Linked DNA regions of Coturnix japonica. Each later gene encodes a partner of the first gene's protein in a complex. Links are inferred from orthologs where the notes say so. Each region holds a gene or a part of one and is shown in the gene's direction. Other genes may lie near its edges.

Evidence for each region.
Region 2: the proteins of RHO (region 1) and SAG are in contact, whole or in part, in a crystal structure (PDB 4PXF), measured with the Bos taurus proteins. The link is inferred for Coturnix japonica from reciprocal best matches to the Homo sapiens genes RHO and SAG. Residues at the interface, in NP_001014890.1 of Bos taurus: Arg135, Val138, Val139, Lys141, Leu226, Glu249, Val250, Met253, Met309, Asn310, Lys311, Gln312; in XP_010802144.1 of Bos taurus: Asp71, Ile72, Met75, Gly76, Leu77.

The regions. Positions count from the first base shown.
Region 1 is NC_029527.1:16,836,730-16,841,212, forward strand, and holds the start of RHO (rhodopsin), read left to right. Parts: upstream 1-1,627; 5' UTR 1,628-3,989; coding exon 3,990-4,350; intron 4,351-4,483. UniProt on the Homo sapiens protein: Photoreceptor required for image-forming vision at low light intensity. Required for photoreceptor cell viability after birth.
Region 2 is NC_029524.1:1,894,632-1,899,227, reverse strand, and holds the start of SAG (S-arrestin), read left to right. Parts: upstream 1-1,580; 5' UTR 1,581-1,595; coding exon 1,596-1,779; intron 1,780-1,866; coding exon 1,867-1,911; intron 1,912-2,060; coding exon 2,061-2,254; intron 2,255-2,808; coding exon 2,809-2,868; intron 2,869-3,383; coding exon 3,384-3,451; intron 3,452-3,592; coding exon 3,593-3,728; intron 3,729-4,053; coding exon 4,054-4,138; intron 4,139-4,596. UniProt on the Homo sapiens protein: Binds to photoactivated, phosphorylated RHO and terminates RHO signaling via G-proteins by competing with G-proteins for the same binding site on RHO. May play a role in preventing light-dependent degeneration of retinal photoreceptor cells.

The DNA.
Region 1 (4,483 bases):
GAATCAAAAGAGCCAAAGTGGAAAAGCTTGTGGGTCAACATAAAGGTAGTTTCGTAAGCAAAGCTATGTTTACAAGCAAAACAATGACAAATTTATTCATTACTTCCCCGTGACAGGCAGATGTCCAACACTTCCTGGAAAGCATGGCCTCAATGTGAGTAATGTTAACATGGGAAGATGAGCATGATGTCACTGGGCATGGAACACCCTTCGGCTCAGCAGTCCTGGTTGTGAACTCTCCCAGCTCCTTGTCCACCTCTGGCCCATTGCTGGGCAGCAAAGTGGGGATCAACAAAAACCTTAAACACTGCCAGCAGTTCTCAACAATAGTTAAAGCACTGATGTTTTGTCAAGACTGTTTTTAGTTGCAAATCCAGCGCACAGCTCCACATGGGCTGCTCTGAAGAACATTAACTCTATTCCAGCCAGTCTCAGTACACAGAAATATTCCTGTATAATTGAATCTCTAGAGAGTGTTCACTGAGTCGTTCTGCAAGAGCTTGAGAATTTGTGTGGGCAACCAGCTGGGCTGGGTTTGAATGGAGAAGTGATAGGTTTCTTGACTTTAAATTGTCTGTAAAATCCAGTAACTGTAAATCCAGTTTGAATTGTGCCCTCCTTAGCATAAATTTTGTTATGACATTTTCTCTGCCATAAGTCTTTCTTTGTTTCGGTTGGGAAATTATATTTTACTTTATTGTATTAAACTATTAGCTGAGATTGGCAGCTGCTGGTAAAACAGCTACCGTGTGAACAGCAGCACTTTGATGTGATGGCAGTGTATGCCTGAGTTCCCCTGGAAAGTAAAGCTTTGAAATCTGTGCTCCTGTGAGGCCCCACCTGCAGTGCTGCAATCAGCCCCCAATGTCAGAAGGACACGGAGCTGTTGGAGTGGGGCCAGAGGAGCTGGGAGGATGCTCAGGGGCTGGAGCACCTCTGCTGTGGAGCCAGGCTGAGAGCTGGAGCTGTTAGGGCTGGAGGAGACTCTGGGGACTGTGGCCTCCCAGTACCTAAAAGAGACCTACAGGAGAGCTGGGGAGGGGCTCTATCAGGGAGTGTAGCGATAGGACAAGGGGTAAAAAGGCTCTAATGTAAAAGATGGTGGTCTTAGATTAGCTTCTGGGAAGATGTTTTTTACTGTTGGGGTAGTGAGGCCTCGGCAGTGCTGCCCATCCCTGGTGGGCCCTGGGTAGTCCAAGCTGGAGGGGCAGCCCATGGTGGGGTGGGGCTGGGGGCTGTGAGGTCCCTTCTGACCCAACCGTGCTGTGATTCTATCCAATGGCACTGCAGGGTTTCTGAGTCTCTCAACGGTTCCTGACTAAATTTGCTTAATTTACCACTTTAAAAACATTCTGTTCTAATTAGTGCTTGTCTGCTTTCTGACTCATACATCACTGTTTGCAATAAAGACGTTGCAACTGACATTGATAAACAACACTCTTTGATATGTGAGCCAGAATGGAATTCAGCTCATTCTCCCTGAAATGAGCTGGCTTTGCAGAGCTATCAGGAATGAAAAATTATAGAAATAAATAGACAAGGCTTGTAATTACACAGAGACAAAATGGATCAAATGGGGGAGCTTCACTTATTTATTTATTTATATTTTTTTTGTGAATATGGTCTGGGTCTGAAAGAAGTGCTGGGCTTTTCCAGGCAGAGCTGTGCTCCACACATCTCGTATATTGGAAAGATGTTCAGCTCCAGGATGCCTCGTACCACTGGAGCTCCCTGCTGACTTCGTGATGAGAAGGCCCTGCATGTGCAGAAGTCCCACCACGAAGCCTTGTTCTGAAGCTTTTGTGGGCGGTTCACCAACTGTTCTCTTCCATTTGCCCTGCACTTCTGCCTTGGCACCACTCACTACCTGCCTTTCCCACTGCTGGACCCCTGCGGTGACGCATGTCAGTCCTAAGCTTAGAACAGCAGCTGCTAACCTCAGCAGGGGCTTATTGCATCAGAGCTTTACGTGGCATATTTGTGTATTGGGAAGATAAACCCGTAATCTGATGTGCCCAGGTACAGATACGAATAGCTTCATCTGCAATTAGCTAGAGGCACTTCTCCGGTCTTGGCAACACATGAAAAGTTAACTGGGAGGGACTTAGTTCCAGAAGAGGATGTGTGGGAAGGTGGCATTTGCACACTGACAGCAGGAGGACTTTGGGGCAATCAAGGCCCACCTTTAGTTATGGGAAGCCAGGCTTTCAGTGGTAGTAATGCTTCTGTCAAATGTTCCCCACACAGAGGACGAGTTTCTCTGCTTGGTCTTCTGTTTGAAGAGAACACAAAGCTTTCTGCGTTCTCCCTTTGAACTGTTTTGCATGCACTGAACTAACTTGCAGGGAACACTGGTAAAAACATGGCAAGAATTGAAGCTGGCTTATTAAGGCCAAAGTGACACAAGCCCTTGCCCATCTCTCACCTGTGAGCTCCAGGCCTGGTGCATTCCCCCCTGCACTGTATGGAGCACTCAGGTACCTCTCCTCTGCTCTTGGCTGCATTGACATAGAAAAGTGATAAACGGAGGATGCAAAAAAGGGAAGAGATGGGGGCAAAATAGCTTTGGAAGCTCAAAGACTAATCACAATGGTGTGAACTACAAAGAATAACCTTGTTCAGCAAAGAGATTGTGGAAGGCTCCACTTTGTTCCCCTTGCTGCACATGCTGTCCCATTGTTTCTGAAAAGTCAAGAACAGATAACATCTAACAGTTGCTGACTGGCACAAAGAATGTTCCAAGCAACACTGGGCACATCAGGTAGGAAGACAGATCCAACAGCAGCTTCTCCTGCAGCTCTAATGCCCATTTACATGGAATTCATCACTTTCAGAAGGTTTCAAGGACACTAAAGATGTCTGTCACCAGAATAAGAGGTCAAATGTTGGCTTCAGCTCAGAACTTGTGCCTTGTCCACAGCCCTTCTATGGATCAAGGCAGCACAATATCTGTCCAGGACAGGTGGATGAGGTTATTTTTTATGTGCTGCCGATGTAGCTGCCATGATGCAACATGTGTATAAAGCCAAGAACAGAGAAGGTGATGCGAGTGGAAATCTGCTAGCAGGATCAGTGCTTCACTGTGTTGTTCAAACCTTTCCAGACAAATTTTGCAGCACAAAAAGCAGGTGGCAGAGAGCACATCGAAGAAGTCTATTTCATCAGCCTACCCTGCGAATGGCAGCTGTGACGGACCAGGCTGCTGTCACAGCGCTGCAGTCCTGCTGGAAGAACAGGCCCCTGCTATGGAACGAATGCACCAAGCACATCCAGCCCAGCGGCCGCTGCAGTGCCTAAAACACAAAATTCACTCCTGCTTACTTTGGTTGAGTGCAACCACAAGAAGGATCTTGTGTGCTTTGTCTTTCTCTGGCACTCTCTGCCTGTGGGCCTGGTGGTAACATGTCCCACTTCCCATATCCCTGTGTGGGTAAACTGAGGCATTTTGAACTGATGGGCGCTGCAGCCTGTGATGTGCTGATGGGGCACTCTGTGGGGCACGGGCAGTATGGGCAGCAGGCGTCCAGCCCAGACCGCAGCATGCAGTGAGTGCGCTGGGCCCAAGCAGCAGGCACTGAGCCTTCAGGCAGTGGCACAGAACACTGGGGAGCGATGCTTGCAGGTGGGGCTGCCCTCTGGTTTAGGCTCCCACACAAGCAGTGCAGAGCTACCTGTCTATGTATGACCATGAACCATGGTCTCCAACAATGACAGCATGGGCCAGAAACAGGTGTCACCTTAATACCCACCCAGAAAAGCCAATTACCCCTGGATGATTATGATTAATAACTCTCTAAGTCCTAATCGTGCTGACACTGACGCCTGGAGCTTACTGCAGGGGGCACTTTATAAGTGACGCCCTACAGCTGCTTCTCTGCAGGGAGACGGCGAAGGCTGAGCAGCAGTGGGAGCCCAACTGCAGGGGTGATTCCCCACACACAAGAAACTGACGCTGAGTCTGACTGAGAGGCGCCCCACAAACCGCAGCCATGAATGGGACGGAAGGCCAAGACTTCTACGTGCCCATGTCCAACAAGACGGGGGTGGTGCGAAGCCCCTTCGAGTACCCCCAGTACTACCTGGCTGAGCCCTGGAAGTTCTCGGCACTGGCTGCCTACATGTTCATGCTGATCCTGCTTGGGTTCCCTGTCAACTTCCTCACACTGTACGTCACCATCCAGCACAAGAAACTCCGGACGCCTCTAAACTACATCCTCCTGAACCTGGCGGTCGCCGACCTCTTCATGGTCTTTGGAGGCTTCACGACCACCATGTACACCTCGATGAACGGGTACTTTGTCTTTGGAGTAACAGGGTGCTACATTGAGGGCTTCTTTGCTACGCTGGGCGGTGAGTTCTCTATATTTTCAAAAATCTGACAGAAATTTCCCCAGGTTTTAGGGGGGGGGATAACGTGCGGCTGCTCCTGGGAAGCTGGGTGGTGTGTACCAGGCCCTGCTGCTGCTATGGGCTGTGGCGTCTG
Region 2 (4,596 bases), on another chromosome or scaffold:
TGTTACCATCACTGCAAAGAAGCCTCACATTTTTATGGACTTTCCTGTGTTCCAAATTGTGCCCACTGCACCTTGTCCTGCATACCACTGTTCAGGGTCTTAAACTGAGCGTGCTGGCTCCAAGATGTGGATGCATCAGGGGTTCTAAAATAGCATCAACAGCATGCTCTGTTTCCTAATAACTTCCCTGCTTACCGCAAGACTTTCTTCCTATGAGGTAGAAACTATAACTGCGCATATCAGACAGCGGTTGTATTTTCCTTGTGTGTGATACTTTGCACTCACTGCCATGGTGTTTGAGCACCTCCCCACTCTGCTTGGTGAAGCACTCCTCTAACTTAGCACAGACAACCTTTTTTTTTTCATGTTCTCATTTCTTCACTCCTTATCTAGGCTCCTTTGCGTTCACACAGGGCTACGTTCAGTGGCAGATGTTCCAGGACATCCAAGACTTTGTTCATTAGCAAACGTCCCAGGACAGGTGAAAGAGCTCTAGTGTACGCTTGCAATAGTGAAAAATAAATCCCAAACCTGAAAGTAGCCAAAATCCACATAAATTGTATTCCTTATTTCCTGTATCCTATCTAGTTATTGACTGAGATTGACCTGCCTTCTTGACTCATGACAATGTAGAGCCTCTGGTGACAAACCTTCTGAAAACTGAAGTGCCTGTCTAGATCAGATCAGCTTTATCTCTACTTGTGTACTCCGCGGAAAGTCTCTCTTCAAATCTATCTGTAAAGGCCAAGCTACCTCTTTGCCTCTGGATTTTTTTAACTGGCCATATAATGTTTTGAATGACAGAAAAAAAAGTCCTCGGTCTCCTGCAATGTTTCTGAAGAGCTGCCCCCTTATACGGAGACCACCTTTGTATTGAACTCAAGCATCCATTGGGAGAGTCAGATTGGCAAACTAGAATGTTTTACCCAACTGTTGTGCCTACATTTTTACCTCATCCTTTTTTCTTTTTCACCCTCACCTCTGATGTCTCTCCCAGGAACCTTTGAGTCTCCCAGGATTCTTTGAGGGAGAAGAAGTTTGTTCATCCATAGTTACCTACTTGTTCATTGGTCATGAGCTGCCCCGAATCTCAGAAGACAGGGAAGAATGCTGATTCCACTCCAAAACAAGTTATCTTCAAGAAAAGCTCCCGTGACAAAGCTGTAAGTACCGTCATAATGGGTGGAAATAGGTACGAGTTTCACATGTAGTCGAGATGAAGACTTAATACAAACCTCTTTCCTGTCCTCTCATTTTTCTGAAGAAGGACCCATGACCCATATTTAGTGTGTATTTAGGAGACAGTGTAAACAAAGCTCATATGGGAGAGCTGCTTGTGGTCTTGCATAAAAGGCAACTCTCATTCCCCCAGGTTGCAGTCCTGCTGGTAAATGTATGAACCAAAAGTGACTCACTGTTTGGTAGTGAATCTGATGGCATCAGAAATATTTACATCCATAGCTCTGTCCCATCTGCAGGTATTTGTGTTTTACTTCTTGGAGCTGTTGCACGTTGGCTCCAATCTCCTGTTGTCCCAAAGCGTGTGGATTGTCCTGAGCCCGGTGTAGGTTGTTTGGTGGGGAGGAAAAATAAACATGCTTAAAATGGGATTGCTCCATTCTCTAAGTAATTTACTGTTCCATACTACATCCTCCCACTCCACGAGCACACAACCATCAACACTTTGTAGTTCAACCATGGTCACCTTTTCCCTACAGCTGACCATCTACCTGGGAAAGCGTGACTTCATTGACAACATAGGGAATGTGGAACCTGTGGGTAAGTCCACAAGTGTGCACGCTGCCCTTCCTGCTCTCCTAAGCCTGATTATCCTCTGGTAATCCTTTTAATTTTCCTTTCTTTCAGATGGTGTTGTATTGGTGGATCCTACAGCGATCAAGGGGAAAAAAGGTTTGAGGCTTTATGCAATACAGGTTTTTACTCAAAGAAATGTGTCTAGAAACTTAAAATATGAATACTAACTGGGTTACACAACAGTGTTGAAAGGAGTTTCCATGACTAGTGCAGGATTTTACATGGCTGGCTGTGTTTCCTTCCAGTGTACGTGACTCTGACCTGTGCTTTCCGGTATGGTCAGGAGGACATTGACGTGATTGGCCTCACCTTCCGGAGAGACCTGTTCTTCTCTAGGGTCCAGGTGTACCCACCTGAAAACAAGTCAGAGTCTCTCTCCCACCTGCAGGAATCTCTGCTAAAGAAGCTGGGGAAAAATGCTTACCCCTTTTTCTTTACAGTGAGTATCTCTTAAGAGCTCCTGACCCTCTTTTCTGCAGCCTTTCTTGTTGGTGAAGCTGTTGACCCTGTGCAGACCAGCAGCAAATGGACACTGCCTGGAGGCTGGCTGGTTTAACAGCCATTAATGGCTGTGTTTCTGGAACAGAGATGCCTTGCTTGAGCTTCAAGCCTGTGTGAACAGTGACTGGCACCACTGTGAGCCATGTTGATGATCCTGGATGGGAGCCAGATATCCCAGCCTCTAATCTGCATCTCCAGTGCTCTAGTGTTTGGTTATAAACCCAGGAGCTCTATGTTTCTGGGCCTCTTTTTACTTTTTTTCTGTGTTTTCTCAGTTGTTAGTATTCTAAGTCCCTTTCTTCCTATAAGGCTTTGTTCATGTATGGTAAGCAATAACACCCAGCTTCTCTCTGAGCTGGAACTTCACAGGGTTGCTGTATGTACATGACCTATTGTCTTCGGGGCTATGTTGTACCTTTTGTGAGCAGTAAGTTAATTCGGATATCACAGTAATCTGCATAATATTGCTCTGGGTTCTTTTTGTTCCCACAGTTCCCAGATTACCTGCCTTGTTCAGTCTGTTTGCAGCCTTCACCTCGTGATGTTGATAAGGTGAGACTGGTGCACTGGTGTTTGCCATGGACTTTGCTGTGCCACGAATGTCAGGAACCTGACTGTAAGAGCTACAGGTGGAATTCAATTCCTCAAAATAAGGAAGACAATCTAGCTCAATAGCTGCAAGGCTGTGCTAAATCTGCAGTGCTTGCCATTTCCTTAAGGGTAACAGAGAAGATCTGTTTCGTATGTGTGTATCAATAAAAACCAGCCTCTGGAGGACATATCACCAAACAGTGAGATGTTCTGCTAGGTTTCTGACATTTAAAACAGTCCTCCTGTACTTCACAGGATGCTTCTCTGAACAGCTGGGCTAGGCCTAAAGCCAGGTATAGCAATATAAACTTTGTAGCATGGAGCAGGTGGATGCTGACACACACCAGGTGTGTCATAGGCCAGAAGAATTTGCAGTTGTCAGGAATCCACCAGTTTCTAGGACACAGAAAGATGCTTGAACATCTGCAGGTGTGGCTTGTGACGCTGGTTTCACAGCTGTCCTCTCTCTCTGGCAGAGCTGCGGGGTGGACTTCGAGGTGAAAGCTTTTTCAACAGAGAATTTGGAAGAGAGAGTTCATAAGAGGTAACAGCACAGTATTAATGTATGTCTTCATTGTTCCACTTGTCGGTGGACTTCTTGAGTTTAACTAAGCCTGTGTGAGTGCAAAACTCCTGCCTCAGCCAAACACAAGGTACCATCCTGGCATCTTCTGCTGCTTCCCAGGAACTCCGCACGGCTGCTGATCCGTAAAGTGCAGTTTGCTCCAGAAGAACCAGGACCCCAACCATGCGCGGAGACCACGTGGCAGTTCTTCATGTCCAACAAGCCACTGCACCTGAAAGCCTCCCTCAGTAAAGAGGTGAGGAGTTTGCCCCTGAGATGTGGACGTGGTTGTACTTCAATACCCATATGCATTTTGTTACCCAAACAGCTGTTTTCTGTGTTACCAGACTCTGTCTCAGCTGATCCAGCTTTGTCCTAATTTTCTAATGTGATATTTTGTTAGTAGTTTCTGCTAGAGGAAAGAGGGACACTGTTATCAGAGTCATTTGAGGCCAAGGTGGGCATTGGAGACAGGATTGGGAAGGGTCACCTTACTTTATCTGGCCTCTGTGGGGATCTGAGTGGTTTATGGCCTGGGAGAAGCTTTCTGACTGGGTTTTTGAGCATCAGTTTCCCCCTAGGTGTACTACCATGGTGAGCCCATTCCAGTCACTGTCATGGTCAACAACAGCACAGAGAAAACAGTGAAGAAGATCAAAGTCCAGGGTATGTTATTTTTTACGATTGCTTGGATTCTTTTAGGACAAGAAGGCCATGGTGGGAGGGCTGGAAGAGCCAGAATTTAGTGCTTGTAGACTGCCTAGGCGGGCAGTAGGGAGTGCATCAGGAATTCATCCCTCCTCCCCATCTGTTGCTGTTTGTTTGCTGCTATTCATCAAGCAAAACACTGCGCCTTTTCTCCTGACTCATGGTTATTTGCCTGGCTTAATTTCAGGCCCCAGTGTGTCATGTCTATGCAGGAAAGGACTGGCATTGTGGCAAGCAAGGCAGGTCTTCCCCCAGTCTGCCTATATGGAGCCCAGTGGGAAGGGCTTCTTGTCAGCACGATGATCAGCTAACAGGGAACGTACCGAGGTGCTGTGCCTCACCTGGGACTTCAGAAATGCCCTGCACTGTGAGAAACAGCCACTCTGCCAGCAATGGGGTAATTCCTCCTGAGGGAG